2 linked regions of the Drosophila melanogaster genome follow. Changing the gene in region 1 together with any one later gene gives a genetic interaction. Each region holds a gene or a part of one and is shown on either strand. Other genes may lie near its edges.

Evidence for each region. Genes that interact genetically often act in the same process or in processes that back each other up.
Region 2: of stac (region 1) and Galphaq, changing one suppresses a phenotype caused by changing the other (phenotypic suppression), as found in Drosophila melanogaster (one study listed by BioGRID).

Annotation. Positions count from the first base shown.
Region 1 is NT_033777.3:25,055,185-25,063,043, reverse strand, and holds the start of stac (staccato), read right to left. Parts: upstream 6,026-7,859; 5' UTR 5,945-6,025; coding exon 5,862-5,944; intron 5,420-5,861; coding exon 5,140-5,419; intron 3,964-5,139; exon of another isoform or gene 3,775-3,963; coding exon of another isoform or gene 3,487-3,774; intron 2,836-3,486; coding exon 2,495-2,835; intron 2,432-2,494; coding exon 2,384-2,431; intron 2,085-2,383; coding exon 1,925-2,084; intron 1,861-1,924; coding exon 1,040-1,860; intron 974-1,039; coding exon 759-973; intron 702-758; coding exon 424-701; intron 367-423; coding exon 276-366; intron 212-275; coding exon 138-211; intron 79-137; coding exon 1-78. Other genes in the region: CG31111 (uncharacterized protein), read left to right, coding at 6,947-7,009, 7,160-7,859. UniProt on the Drosophila melanogaster protein: Essential for tracheal development in embryos. Functions with the GTPase Rab39 and downstream of dnd, to regulate lumen fusion between previously separate tracheal branches (anastomosis).
Region 2 is NT_033778.4:12,610,892-12,618,766, reverse strand, and holds the start of Galphaq (G protein alpha subunit q), read right to left. Parts: upstream 6,028-7,875; 5' UTR 5,921-6,027; coding exon of another isoform or gene 5,916-5,920; exon of another isoform or gene 5,888-5,915; coding exon of another isoform or gene 5,883-5,887; intron 5,201-5,882; coding exon of another isoform or gene 5,110-5,200; exon of another isoform or gene 4,422-5,109; intron 2,981-4,421; exon of another isoform or gene 2,938-2,980; intron 2,861-2,937; 5' UTR 2,471-2,860; coding exon 2,353-2,470; intron 2,228-2,352; coding exon 2,043-2,227; intron 1,981-2,042; coding exon 1,826-1,980; intron 1,696-1,825; coding exon 1,567-1,695; intron 1,312-1,566; coding exon 1,183-1,311; intron 973-1,182; coding exon 843-972; intron 781-842; coding exon 627-780; intron 564-626; coding exon of another isoform or gene 456-563; intron 325-455; coding exon 217-324; intron 1-216. Other genes in the region: CG45086 (uncharacterized protein), read right to left, coding at 5,110-5,200, 5,916-5,920; Amph (amphiphysin), read right to left, coding at 7,678-7,758.

The DNA.
Region 1 (7,859 bases):
GGTGCTTGCGCATCTCTCAGCCTCTAAGTTAGTTCGATACTCCCCCAATCTCTTGATAATGTCATCAATGCTAAGTTCCTGAAATAAATTATTTGTTTTCAATAAATTTGTTTGATTTAGGTAAATAAAACCTCTACCTTTATGAATGAAGGTAAGCTCTGCCGGATGTAATCCATGTTGTTTATCGCTATGCACCACTCCTCCGACAAAACTATAAAATAAATAAATTCAATACAAACAATATATGATAAAAAATGGTTTCCAATAGAACTTACTGAAATTTTTATTGTTATCATCAGCAATAAAAATATTCTCAACTCTGCGGGACATCTGTTGGGCATAAAATATGCAGCAGCGACAAAGATCCTGTAAAATTATAATAATTAGTAAAGATAACATAACTATATTTGTATTCAATCTCACATTGACGATTTTGGCTACGAAGATGTAGGAACCCTCGACCTCTGGCCAGTCAAGTTGTTGCCAAAATATCTTGATTTGGTAGAATATGGAAAGTGTGTCCACTGCCGAGGAGCTGTATTTCACTGTTTCATCGACCGCTTTCAGCTGATCCAAATCAATTGCTTTCTGGATGCGACTCAATGCCTTAATTATTGAAATATCCAGCCAGTGGGTAACTCCCCTCTCGAACCACGGGTAAAAGTTGGACAGTTCCAGGGGCTCGGAGCAAAGAGATTCTCCTGTAAACAGAAAAATCAATTAGTGATTTGCTAAGAGTGAGGACTTCAGTACTTTACCTAATTGAACGTAACGTTTGAGTATTAAATAGACTTCAAACAAAGTCGTGCCCATATTTACATTCTCAAGGTTGGGTAAATATTCGAATTGATCGTCTGGCACATCCAATCTCTTAATATTATTGCACACTTCTATTATAATCGATTTACAGATTTCAGCAAGCTTGGAGTCATAAAATAAATAAAGTACAGCGGAATAGTTAAGCTGAATTTTGCTGGAAATGAACAAGGTAAATAATAAATGATTGATTGATTCATCGATGCACAATTGTAAAACTTACTGGTAAAAGATTTTATCGAAGTATTCCATTGCACGTTGCAGGTCAGACCGCACCATTTGTATCAGTTTAATGACGTACTGCAGCTTTTCGTCATCGGTTTCGGTGTTCTTAGATTGCCTGCTGCCCTCCACTATGTGCTCCAGCCATTCCCTTGTCCCCGTGTTGATAGCATCCTCAATGGCAGTATCAATATTGCACGTTTCATCAGTGTCGTTTGTGTGTAGCCAACCATACACCGATTTGGGGAATATGTCTACACTCTCCGGCACTTCCAGCTCCTTAATCTTCTTTAGAATATCCAGAACTTCGTTCAGAGCTCTAATTATGTTTTTATCACTGGTGTTTTTGGATCTTAGTTTCCTTAGCACTGCGAAGCACGAGGGAAGCAGTCGTTTCACGCCATCCCAGAATGTTTTCACATCCTCGGAGTCGTTCTGCATGTAAGTAATCACTGGCACCACCACGTCCAGAATTGAATTGAATAGTGTGAAATTGAGTTTGTGCGTCTCATGGATGGTGCTGTACGCGTGCCACTGGCTGAGCGCACAGTCGAAAGGAGTTAGCCCACTCTGGGCAGCATGCTGGGATCGAATGAGTTCGGCATTGGGACTGAACTTGCCGCTCCACCAGTAGTTGGCCACCTGCGAGGTTTCCAGCTCGTACATCAGGAGCAGTTTCAGTAGGTTCTTGTGCTCCTGAACGGCGACACTTTTGTTCTTCTCCGCACTCAAGGCCAGATTAACCAGAAGTGATCCTCGACTGCGTCCCTTGCTTCCCTTTTCCAGGTTATACCATACGGTGAGGCCGGAAACGGGAATAGACTGAAGGATATGTGTGTTTTTTTTTTAGTGTTAAGATCTTTGATAATATTAGATCTTTTCCTACCTTCAATGTAATTGCAGCTCTCCCAATCAGTTCATTATCATGTTTTCCCGAGGAAGCTGTTACAGCAATTTCCTTCATCAGCTTGCTAAGTCCTTTCACACCCTTAACATCCAGGATTTTGTTGACTTTTTCCTTGACGGTTTCCGCAGCATCAAAGTCCCTGAAAAAAGGTAAAATATTAAATGGGAATCATGCGTTAAAATAGATAAATGGGATTCTAGCATGAAATTCTAATGTTATAAAACTAACACAACGTACTTTACTTTAACTACTCAAACATATTTCAAAAAGAATGATGAGTTTTTAAGATGCCATACCTTCGAGTTAGTTAGTTTCAGACCATAAACCTATTGATCCGCGATAAGTGCAATTTAGAGTTCAAGAAACGTTATCAGCCAGATAACGTAGGTTTTATGAGTGCGTTATATGAGTTCAATATGCAAACAAAGTCACACTTACCACACTTCAACGATAAGAACTTCGTCTCGAGCATTTTCAGTAATTGGCCTAGCAAGAAAATAAACATTAACAAATATATATCAGTTTTTATACGAAATAATCAAGACTCACAGTGAAAAGTGCTCCTCCCATATGGGATTCAATGTGGCAGGCTTGACCGATGAGTTGTATCGATGGGAGCCATTCGATTCCAAGTACAGGGTAACAAACGGATCGGACAAGCCGTTTGAGTCCTTGGACATGAGGTTCTCGGCCTTTATAATCTCGACATTTAGTCTAACATTGGGCGGTTCTTTCAGTCGCGCCGCCTCATAAATTTCCTCATGAGTGGCGTTCGGAATTTTGAATGCATCCTGCACGAATTCGACCAAACTGTTTGTGCACTCTTCGTTGTTTTCACAGCCAATGTTGTTGAAAATTTCAAATAATATCTCTTCATAGAGATCTGTGACCTGCAAAAGCAAAGGCAACAATTAGTTTAATCCCAAAACGCAGGCGACATTTATAAACCATCTAATCGGTGAAGTATTTTAATTTCTTTGAGCAAAAATAGAAATAAGTCACTTCTCTAAAGGTCAAAGCCTAAGTAAATATCGACAAATTCCAGAATACGGAAATATAAACAAATCTTCGCAGGGAAATTGGAAAAACAGACCCAGCTGAGGTCATGTTTGCTTAGATACATTCTATATAAGTATCTACTGGATGCTCGCTACAGTGAAATGTTTTATCATTCCCATAAACTATCCACTAACATAAATATTGACTTAGCTCCAAATTCGAATCAATAAACTTCTTAGAATGTTCACATTTTCGCTGATTTTTTTTTTGGTATCTTCTAGCTACACTTTACATAATTTTCAATTATGATTTTGGCAAAAAAAAAACAAGTACATAAATATATGTATTTAAGCACTGAAATACTCTGTGCACTTAACTCGAGTGACTCAACAATTATGCCAAATCAATGAACTTATACAATCGCTTTTGTTTACCGAGGCACTGATGAACCGATTCCCTCGGATATTCTTAAGATCAGTTCATTATGGATTACAGATATATCCATATCTAGATATAGCATCCAAACTTCGTTCTCTACTTACGGTCATCGAGTGGCAGACCGCCTTGGCATGGGAATCAAGTAAATGCTTGTGGACACCACGGAAGTGTCGACTGGAAATGCTTCCATTCCGATTCAGTATGCTCATCCGTCGCTCGAATGGTTTGTTGAGCGACTGGGTGGAGGATGCCTTCCGCGGCAGTCTGATTTCGTCGCATCCGGTGCGCGTACTGGATCTAGTTAGGCTATTGGTTTTCGAACTTTGGTTAGACGAACTGTGGTTTTGGGAGCCGAACTTGCTCAGAACACGTGGTAGCGATAGGTAGCTCATGATCGAACCCAGCCACTAACCGATCACTCCACTTTTTCAATGTTTTTCTCTAGGTGCAAGCGAAATTGAAATTTTTGGCAAATACTCTCTGGCAAATATACAATTCGATATAGACGCACATATTATCGAGCACGATCGGATGCGCTGGTGGACAGATCGTGGACACCCACGGACTCAGGAACACCGACTGGACACAACCGCTTCGGAGAAGAGTCTGTAGCTAAGTACAATAGCGTCCGGTGTGGGAAATCTTTGCGATATCCGAAATATCTTGACGTTGACCATGAGATAAAAAGTGTATGCGCTCAATTCGATTCAGATTGCTTGGTGTATTTGTGCATACTCGTATGTACACGATGATGGCCAAGTGTTTGTGAGCAATAATAAAGCAATCTTAAGAGAAAATGGTCTATTTTCGGATACAAAAAGGAAAAGCTCAAGGTGGTAATGAAAAATGTATTTTCTAAAGTACATTAAGCTTTCTCCCCGCCTCCCTTCAATTGGCCGCTCTAGGGTTCTTCAATGTTTGCATGTTCTGCAGTGCTTGTTTATGCTGTCAGTATACATTATTCGGTTTGTTTATACAGTCCGACTATATAGGCAAGTTCTTTTGTTTATTGTGCAAGCGTTTCGTTTCTATGGACACGACTTCATTTTCGGTTTCTGTTCAATTAAACTACACCTGCCCAGACGGCAAACATGCGAACAGCAAAATGTTGGCACAAGATAAAACATTGAATTAACTCGTAGGCGATCGTTACGCCGCGCTGCAAACTGGAAAACTGACCTATGTCGCAACTTCCTCGGTAGTCGGGCCTAGGAATTACACATGACGTGAATGTGACCAGGCTCAAAAGCCATCCATATTCACCAATACCCACCATGGTGGATAGCTAGTTTGGGAGTCGACCTGGTAAAACCCAAACTGAATGACGGAGCTTTATCTTGATGTACTTTCACTCGAATCCTAAAAGCTACAGTGCATACTAACCCAACAATTCAAAACGAGTTCGTAAAGCGGCGATTATCAATACTCTATCATGAATATATATGTATATATATATTAGGGCGGATTAAACCATAAATCATCCTTAAACTGAGTTTTACGAATTCACAAGAGCTCGTATGAATCACATGTATAAATATGAAAAATCTCTTAACGTACGCATTTGGGAGTATGTAAGATACTAAATTAAATAAATAATTTAGTAATCTTATGATTAAACTATAGGTTACGTTTAGTATAAGCTGGAGCTCTATTAGTTGCACCAGTTGGAATGCAGTTTGATTGTCTGATTCGTTGTGACCTTTTAATGGCTTTGTCAACCTGATTCACAGCACTGATTTCTCAATTACAAAACTTACATTCATCACTGGCGCCGAGTCCAGAACTGAAGTGCTGATATCCTTGTCCGAACTGGACGCCAGTGTACTCTCGGTGGCAAAGGTATCGATGCTGGTGCACTCCGAATCCTGGCTGAGTTGCAAAGTGCCATCGGGACTCTCGTCCGAATCTTCTTCTCCGCCGCTGCCATTTTCCTCCAAGGGAGCCAGTGAACTTTTGAGGACGCCCTCATCGATTTGGGACTTCTGCCGCAGTAGGGATCCAAACTTTTCGAAAAATCCATCATCTCCGTCTTGCAGTCTGCGGAAAAAGTGCAATTAGTAAATAATTCGAAAAAAGTCATTAAATATTATCTGCACTGGCTAGTCATCACTTAATGGGGATTTCATTTCGATTAGGGATACTCGTACTATGAGCAAGCTTATGTAGATGTATTTGAAAGCCCAGTGAAAAATACCCTAAAACTGAGTCATGTTTTAGTTGCGAGTGGGTGGTAAAATCGATCTGTGGCTTCCCCCACTCCCTTACATCACTTGCCATTCCTCACGCACACACGTTAATTTCACTTGATAATCTTTAATTTATCTGATGACACAGTTCCAGTTCTCCAAAATGTTCATATTTGTCTAGAGAAATAGAAACACACATTTCGGCTCGTCTGGCGAACAAATGTTTGTCTATCGGTGAGTTTTCAAGTTTTCTACAGGTATGCGTGAGTCTGTATTTTATTCATCCAACTTACTGGTGTTCATGCTCCGTGGGTGGATTCATTTTGAGCTCCTGCAACTTGAAGAAGAAGCCCTTCCACATCTGCTCCTCGTCCATTGTGATGTTGCGTTTTTAGCTTCAGAGGCACTGAATCGAAATCGGAATCCAACAAGTGTCACCGGAGTGTAGAAACATACTAACGGCTTATTTGCACCGAAACCGAAACGAACAAACGATGTGATTCATTGCCAAAGCTGCTCTCCGACGTAGATTTTTCTCAGTGGTATTCACACGCTCTTCCCTACACTATCGCAAACACATTATAATGAGCTATGGATGTTTGTAGTATCTAACATTGGGCGAAAGTGGGGAAATGGGAAGGAACGGGATGATACATACAGACAGACACCTGTTGCCATGGTGATCGGACGTTTTTTCTAGCTCTCATGCTAATGATTTTAAAAACTTATAGTTTGTAACTCTTGAAATTGTTGAATGAAAATCCATTAAGAAGTTACCAATCATCAATGGTTCTAATGGTGGTAAGCCTCACGCACACCTGTTTATGTACATATACTCTTGAAGGGCTAGGTGTTGGTATTCTTGTAACTACCTTTGCAGACTGGTGCTTCCATGGTCAAACTACGCACTTTAAGGCACATTTTCAGATGCCAAGCTAAATTATGTGCGCAACTATTTAACTACTTTAAAAACATACCTTATTTTTTCAAATATCCTTAATTCCGAGCGCCGGAAGTAACTTTTTAACATGATTAAGTCCTTTGCAAGGTCAGAATGCCAGATTGAATTAGGCTAAGAGGATTTGCAAATCCATTAGGAATTTCCTTAATTTCAATTCGAATTAACGTCTCCGTTTGTTTTTTTCGCACCCTTTAAAACTTTATTTATATCTTTTAAAATAAACAAAGATTAGATTAGATCAGTTTTGTTTATTAATTTGGTATGTAAGATATACCAACATAAATGAATCTACCGAATACCGTATTTCGATAACTTACGAATGGCAGCCCTGCAGTCCGATAATCATAACAAACCCACGGCAATAACAACAAACAAATCGTATCTCTTGTTTTTGCTGAAATTATAAATTAAAAAGCAATGAATTTAAAGTATAAGCGGCGCTACGAGAGCTTAAAACGCTCCGTCAAGAGTTATCTACTGGTAAGATCTTAGAAACTAGGGCGAAGTTATGCAAACTTAAGAGTATTTACAAGAAACCTTAAGATTCCTACTCACATATATGTTTACATTATAGCATAAAACATTTACGGGAAGTTATATGATCTATTAACTTTATAATACCAATTTCAGGAGAACGCCGCCCTCACGGATGAGATCTGTCGTCTGCAGGCCGAACTATCTGTGACCCGATCCCAAAGACTTTACTTGATAGAGCGCCTCATGTTTCACGAGGGCTTGGAGAAATCCAACAGTGGACGACCCAGTGTCTCGAATGGAAAAAACGACGCCGCTGAAACCACAAAGAAATACAGTCCTGTAGTTTCGCATAAGAACCCCGTCGAAGATAAGCCAAAAAATGTTACAATTGTACGGAAAAAGAAGCCCATGTTTCCGATGAACCTAAATAATGTATTACTCCACTCACTGGGCGAGATTATATCAGTGAATCCCAATTTTCACACTGAGAGCTGGATATATCCCGTGGGATATGTGGCCACACGAATCTACGCCCATCCCAAGGATCCGCGCAAGAAGTGTGTGTTCACATGTAAGATTTTAAATAACGCCGGGATTCCTCAGTTCCAAATAATACCCGACAATGATCTGGATGGAGTTTTCTTCGGAGAAAGCGCCAATATGTGTCACATGGAGCTTCTAAACTCCATTCAGCGGTCTCCCTGCGTTAAAATTAAAATACCGTTCGACGTACAGGGCGAGGTTTTCTTTGGCTTGTCAAACCAAAAAACACAATCGCTGCTTATGATGGATCCTGCCTTTCATCAGTGCACGAATTTCAAGGGATTCGCGGTGCAGAATGTGCAGTCCTTAA
Region 2 (7,875 bases), on another chromosome or scaffold:
ATCGTTGTTTTATTAGAAATCAATTCGTTTAGGTTTGCAAATTTGACTAGCGATACACAACTACTCTCTACTCTAGATCAGCGGCAAAAGCAAATATGCAAATGTAAATGTTTTTCACACAAAAGTTTACCTTTTGACCAGTCCTTTTTAGGCTGAAAACTAAAATCACATCCACACACAATTTCTGACCAAACACAGAACTGGCAGCAAACTTACCTGTAGCACACGTGAAATGAGAATAGATAATTTTTTCGGAATCTGGATTTAAATCTACAAACATTCGCAGTATAAACTCTCGGGCCGTTATTGCATCTCGCTGAGGACCTGTTTCGATAAGAAGGCGAATATGAAGTTACGTCTAGCGTGGTTCTACGAAAACTAGCAAATAATCTACGGATGATATTGGCGATTTAAGGCAATTACATAGATCTTAAGTACATAAGGTGAAAATCCACCTGTGGCCGTTGTGAAATGCGAATAGCATTGACGTTCGGGATCTGGATTGCAGGCCAAGTACTTTTTCAGAACGAACTGTTTGGCCGCAGCGTGATCCTGTTTTGGACCTGGTTCATTGCCGCATAAAATCGTACATAATTATGGCCACCTTTATCATGCGGAACACTTACCATCGTATTCAGGAAAATAGTCTACCAAATGCGAATACATTATTTTCTCTTCCAACAAGTCCTTCTTATTCAGGAAAAGAATAACTGACGAATTTTGAAACCAAGGGTATGTAATTATAGTACGAAATAAAGCTTTAGATTCCTCCATTCGATTCTGTGAAAGCGTACAGGTGATTATTTGTTTAAAAAAAATATATTCATAACTTGAAATCATACCTCATTATCAGATTCAAACAAGATTTGATCGTACTCCGATAGCGCTACCAAAAATATAATTGATGTCACATTCTCAAAGCAATGAATCCACTTTCTTCTCTCGGATCGCTGACCACCGACGTCTACCATTCTGTTTATTAAGAAAAATATATTATTGTAAGAAAAGTTAACCAACAAATTAACTACATATAAGGCCAAACATACAAGCATTTAATTCTAGAGCGCAAGCAACGAATCTATTAGTAACTAAATTGTAAGAAATCGTCTTCACTAGCTTTACAATGACCATTTACATTACTAGCCTTGCCGGTAATTACCAATTGATATTTTTAATAGATACCTAAACACAATGCCATCCAAATCGAATGGATACTCAAGAATGCCAGTTGTCGGCACTCGAGCACGCAGAATATCCTGCTCGGTTGGCAAGTAATCAGCCTGTTCAATTCGAGCTAGATCGCTCAAGTAGCTAAATTAGATAAATTAATACACTTTTAAAACAATGAACGGAACCAAAAGCAGTGGCAAAAATAGTTTTGCAACCCGTCTCAGTCCATCAATTTCGCTGAAGGCCCTAACTAAGTCCCTGAATTGTTTGCTTGAAGAGACATGCGCTAAAGAAATTCTTAAGTGTGTAGTTACAAAGTACAAAATAAATTTTAACCATAACCAAACAAGAGGTCATGCACATGCAACGAAGTAAGGGTAGAAAGATGGTATGTACCTAAATCTGATTTCTTCTAAATCAAAGGGATACTCAATTATCCCTGTTGTGGGCACACGAACTCTTAAAATGTCTTGCTCAGTGGGTAAATATGCAGGTTGAGCCACACGATCGAGATCCTTCAGATAACTATACATAGACAAGATAATTGATTTAGTTTGCATAGTCGTTTCGGTAGTTTCAGTCTCTTCAGTTCGTTTTTCGGTCATTTTGCGGACGGATTTAAACCGTTCCCTTTGCATGCCAACGGTTAACTTACTATTTGGCTGAATCAGTCAGCTGATATTCCCTACGACGATCATAGCACTCCTGGATGCCAGCATCGTCCCAAAGCGTTTTGATGGCATTCAAGTATGGATCCTCGAACGTGGTAACGGTCTCATAATCGATGCTCATCACCAGATCGGCCAGTTCCTGTGGATCGTAAGATGTTGTTTAAGATTCAGTGACTTCAATTAGATCAATGTTTCACTTACACTATGCTCTCCCTGGCCGTAGGAAATCTTCAGCATATCCATGGCCTTGATCATTGACTGCATGGCCATGAATATGTTCTGAAAAACCAGCTTGATGTACCCACGCTTGTCCTCGTCCGAGTAACCGCTGCCGTGGATAATACGCATCTGTTTGATGAATGTGGACTTCCCGGACTCGCCAGTGCCTGGGGATATAGGATTGGAAAATATATATAGCCATAAGCGGCGGGCAAACAATGCAATTAGCGAGGCGGCTTCAATTGCATTAAGCCAGGCTAAGTGCAATCGAAATGGGCCATGCTCCACTTACCCAGTAGTAGCAGTTTAAGCTCGCGGCGCGCATCTCTCTTGTCCCGGCGCAACTGCTTCTCGATTTCCTGATTGATGCGCTTTTGTTCCTTGGCCTCCTCCGATAAACAGCACTCCATGCTAACTAGATTTATAGACGCTTTCGCGTGCTGCTGCCACTACGCTCGACAGACCGTTCCGTATATAAAATGTATGCTGTTTGGATGGTGGGATGGTCTCCTGGACTCCCTTCTCTGGACCCTCGGACACCTAGCTAATTGGTTGTATGGCGGGCGTTGAATTCACCCGTTCCAAGTTATAGATTCTGTTGTAGTTTCGATTGGTGCATTTGTACTTCGGCTTTGCTCGCTCTGCAGACCTCCTCCAGCGCTTACGATCCAGGCTCTCTTTGGCTATTGCTATTGCTAATTACGGGTCTACGCTAAGTTCTTGACCAGATTTCGGTGACTCGGAGGCTGAGAGTGATGGTTACTAATGAACAAAGACCACATCGAACGATCCAAGAACATCTGCAAGGAGACAAAGCTTTGATTTAGTGCTTGCATAACCGAACTGTAGGATCTATCCAACTATTGCTGCTACGGACCACCACAGTTGTTGGCCCAACGAGAGTTCGCCGCGTTGTGTCCCGTGCTGACAATTAACATTTCATATTTGCTAGCCTGCCCCACTAGCTGGCGACGTCGATGACGACGTCGGATATAGATTGCCCATGGCTACCCATGACTACCCCGGGACTTCCTCTGACCATGGCATTGGCTTTGGTTCTAAGTTCTGGGCCTGCTCTCTCTGCGCAGACCTGGGATCGCCCTCTACCAGGTGGCAATAGATTGAGGAAGCGTTCCCCACAATGCCCCTCAGCCAAGTTCAATGCAAGAAAGCTGATTTTGGAAAATATATGGCTTCGCTGGCCACAAGTTAGCGAGAGTGTTCTCCTATTGGGTGGACCAAGCAGTCTATGGATAAGAAGAATTGGCATATCATTCTAATTCGGAAATAAAAAAGTCACATACCGAAACTTATGATGCAAAAACACAGCTCTATACACAAAACTGGAATATCATTGCATAAACTTTAAAACTCTTAATGTACTTTTATCGTTAAAAGATATGAGTCCACCCGAATCCGCGGTTCATTCATGGGTTCAGCATAGGGCATGCCTATAGAATATAGCCTATAACCACTGGTGCTATTTCCTCTCTTTTCCAACCCCTAGTTTATATATCGAGTGATGGCTAATCCAATTTCGTTTGGCGAACACATTGACATGGGTCGAGGTAAGGCTTTCAGCATGACCACTACCAAATATCGATGGAATACCTAGCAATAATTTTGACAAAAGTCTGACCAGGAGAATTTGGCGGGCTCAGGTGGGCGAATATGGAGATCTGGATAATGATGGCTAGACGCATAGTATTCGGGAGGATTAGTGGGCTGCACTCGGAACACATTGCTCGCTGAGCAAAGCCACAAAATCGAATTAGCAGTGGCAGCAAAATTCAGGGGCAGGGGCACGCAATTGGCGCAATGAAGCGTTTTTTAACAATAGTTTGCCAGATATATCATGCCACCAAATCAGAGGGAGATTTACCTACCGCGAACTGGTCTTATCTGCCTTACATATTGTATATGCTGATGATAAACCACTCTGAGATAACGTTTGATTTGACTTCTTAATCTTTAGACGACTACTGCTCTTCTGAAAATCACTGTTCTAATGCAACCCATTTCCGAAAAACCATTTCTAAGCCGGAAATAGCTTCACGTTACTCATGCAGTTCCTTATCGCATCCTCAGCCTATTTTTGCTGGAGAATTTATGAGCTCATATTTTAGATACAAAAGTACCCTTTCATTATGATGAAAGCATGGCTTTTACACAAAATAAATATATTCGAATGGATTTGAATAAGATGGATGACAATCCATTAAACTCGCCTGGAGAATAATTCGATTTTTGGATTATAATATATTTCGGCCAGTTTTTAGTGGCAACCAACAAGTGGTCGGAGTCAAAAATTAACCACGAAATTACGATTCTTGTATTCAATGAGCATTCAGTATTACTTACTTAACATTACGGAGACACGGGACTAAAGGTATTCAGACGAGATTCTCCAAAAAGATGTTCCGGTTATCGTCTCGATTTGTTTTAGCTACCACTATGTTATACAAAAAATATTGAATTTCGGGTTTTAGTACGCCGATTGAAGTTCTTCCGGATTGATCGTGTTCTTTTAATTTTTGTTTTTGGTTCCCTGCCGATGTTCGGTCTGTTTTAAATATTTTTAGTTTAATCACGCGATTTGCTTTGCGGTGCGTTGGTTGGTCTTACGTTTTTTAGTTAGCTTAAACTAATTTCAAAAGCATTTCGTTTTTAGTTGGTTTGCGGTTTGGAAAACATTTGTTTTTAAGGAACGTGTGTAGTTGGTTATATATTTTTTACTGGTGCTTTTTAATATAAAAGTTACGATAACGTCTGTTCGGCTTCCTTTTAATGTAAATGTGTGATACGATACTATTTATATATGTAGATATATATCTATATATAATTTTCCCTTTTTGCTTCTAGTTTTCGGTGTGTATGAGTGCTGTTGTTGTTGTTGTTCTTGGTTTTTAACGTTTCTTCTTGTTGTTGTTGTTTTTAAACACCAGTCTGTAAATGCAACGAAGTTTCAACAAATATTCATTGTAGTGTAATTGAAACGGAAAAGTATGTACGACGACAACGACGACGACGAGCGGTCTTCAAATTGATTTCACACGAAACACTTAGTGGCTCCTTTTGTATTTAATTTTCTGCATATTTTATGCTTCTTGTATTTGTTTATTTTTCTGTATGCAGTGGAACTGCAAGTAAAGAAGAGAGACAGAGAGATAAGGAGAAGAACGATGGGGGGGGGGGGTGGTATTATGGGTGGTAAGGTGGGAATATGCATTCCGGAAAATCATCATCATACTGGCTAAGGTAAACACACACGACCCTCAGCTACCATTTTTTTTTTCATTTTTTGGTTAGCCCACCCGTTTTAAGCCCAAAAATATGCACAATCCACTATGTAGTTACGCGACCCCAACTAACTTCTCGCTGGCATGCACCGTTTAGTGGCAAAAGAAAACCACATTGAGTTAAACAAACTATTTCTTTTTTAAATTTCTCAACTTTTTTCCTATTCGCAGTGTTTTTCTCGGGCAAGCAGTGCGACTTGCTGCGCACTGCTTTACGAACGAATACACACAAATATAAGCGAGGGCGTTAACGAAACGAAAAAATTTTGATAGCAATGCGATTCGAAGATTTCGCGATTCGATTCGCCGTTTGTTTAACAATTATGGGGGGGCCTTGCTTAATGGCCAGCACTGTTTGGCGAAAAAATACACTTTACACTGGCATTTCGGGGAACGTTTTCGGTGCTGCTAAATTTTTTTTTTGTCGAGGGGGGGACTTTTTCGGGTGGCTGCCAGGCGGCTGCGGATGGCGACCGCTGGCTGGCGGGGAGTCCGTTTGACGGGGATCTTGCTCGAAACTCACAACATATTCGATTTGGCATCGCTCGCTACTCACAACATATTTAATTTTGCATTTTTCGCTAACGTTGACGCACGACCCGACTTTCGATAGCAGGAGGCGTTATTTGTCCGAACCTATCGGCCCTATCGTTCGTCGATATCGATGGTCAAACCAATCGGACGGCATTTGAACTAGTGGTGGCAAGATATCGATGATGGAATAGATGCTCTTAAATCAAAGTCTTCATTGTATTACATAAGGAAGGAGTTTTATTTGCCGCATAATAACTAATAGAAGTGGTTTATAACAAATAAAAACGGATTTCCTGGCAGTTCAGCTTAATTTGAAAATATATTACTTTTGGTATTTTTTAGTTGCCACCCCCACCACAACACATGTCGGTGTTGCCATACGGATTTCTATTCATGTGTGTCAATACACATTCTTAGCAATAAGGTTGGCAACGCCTTACATCCTTCAAATAAGGATGGCAACGCCAGACATCCTTAAAAATAAGGATGGCAGTGCGCCATATTCTCATAATTCAGGATGGCAATGCCTGATAGCTTTAGGAAAGACTGAAAATGTTGTGTCCTTTTCACTCTCTAACAACAGGGAATACACTTACCATGCACTTCCATATTCGTTAAGCTGTGACCCGAACCAATGACTATGATCGTAAATTTTAAATAACTAAATATATGTGTGTATAATTACCATTTAGAACATAAAAAATGCGAATATCGTAAAACGCCGGTCAATCGTCAAATTTACAAGCACTTTCTATCTTCGAAATCAGAAGACATTGCCCGCCAAATCAAAAGACTTGTATTATTTAATCTATGTTTTATTGGCTTTCTGTAAATTATTATCATTTGTTCAATATGTTCATGCGATAAATAAGTGTTTAAATTAATTAAATAAAATTAAAATAATAACTTTACAGTGTGTGCACAATTTAAACAATTATTTCGGGTTTCGTGTGATTTACAATCGAGTTAAATAAAATAAAAACATCGAATCGATCGGTTAGTGACTATTGGATTGTGTTCGCGTTATAAAGCTGTAGCTAGTTCGAGTCTCTCAAACGAAAAATTAAAAACCAAAGTACAAATTAAAGATACACGTAATCGCTAAACGTTAATGTTGTTACTTGAAACAATTTCCAAAACTTCGGGGACCACAGAGGAATTACATCTGGCCTTTTTGCATCGCCCCAAAAATACATTCAATTGACTATAAAAAACTCGTACTACATATTTGCAAAATTCACAAAATACAAAAGGTTCAGGCTGGCTATCTCCTCCGACTTTTGATTTGTTTAACAATTACTCTAGCTCTCGAGTGATATGTTTTACATTTGTGGTTTGCCATTAACAAATTACAAATTAGATACGTTTTGTTCGCATTAATTATGAGCACAATAATAGGATTAACAAATAATATATGTATACGTAGGTTTATGCTTTAGGTTTTCTTGAAACTTAGAACTAAAAAATAATGTTTGAAACATTTTCAAAATATTCTCTCTCTCATTCCTCATCTGTGTGTTCGTTCTTCTTTGTGTTAACAATAACAATTTTATGGTTGGAAGCACTGCCCTAACGAACAATCGCTATAAATGGATTGCCAGTTACCGAATACATTTCACAAAACAAGAATTTATTAATTGGACAAAAGCAAAAGCAGCGCTCACAAAGAAAATTTGGCCAAAAGTTTGTATTTGGATTTGGACCTCCGTTCGTAAAGATTTTTATGGTTGATCTGAAGTTGCTGATGGTTCGTTGCTAGCCCAGTTGTTCCCCAGTTTGTCGCTTCAGATGGGACGCGTGAAGTTGGCGGGGAAGAGTCCCTTCTCGTTGGTGCCCTCCTTCTGACCCATCAGCCAGCCTTCCTCCTGTAAATTGGCAATAAAGAACTGAACTCAATATAGACAGGAAGTGCTGAGATCTGCATTTGGCGCGGAGGGGGAAACTAGCGCGTGCAAAGCTCAAAGGAATGTGTATCTCCGGAT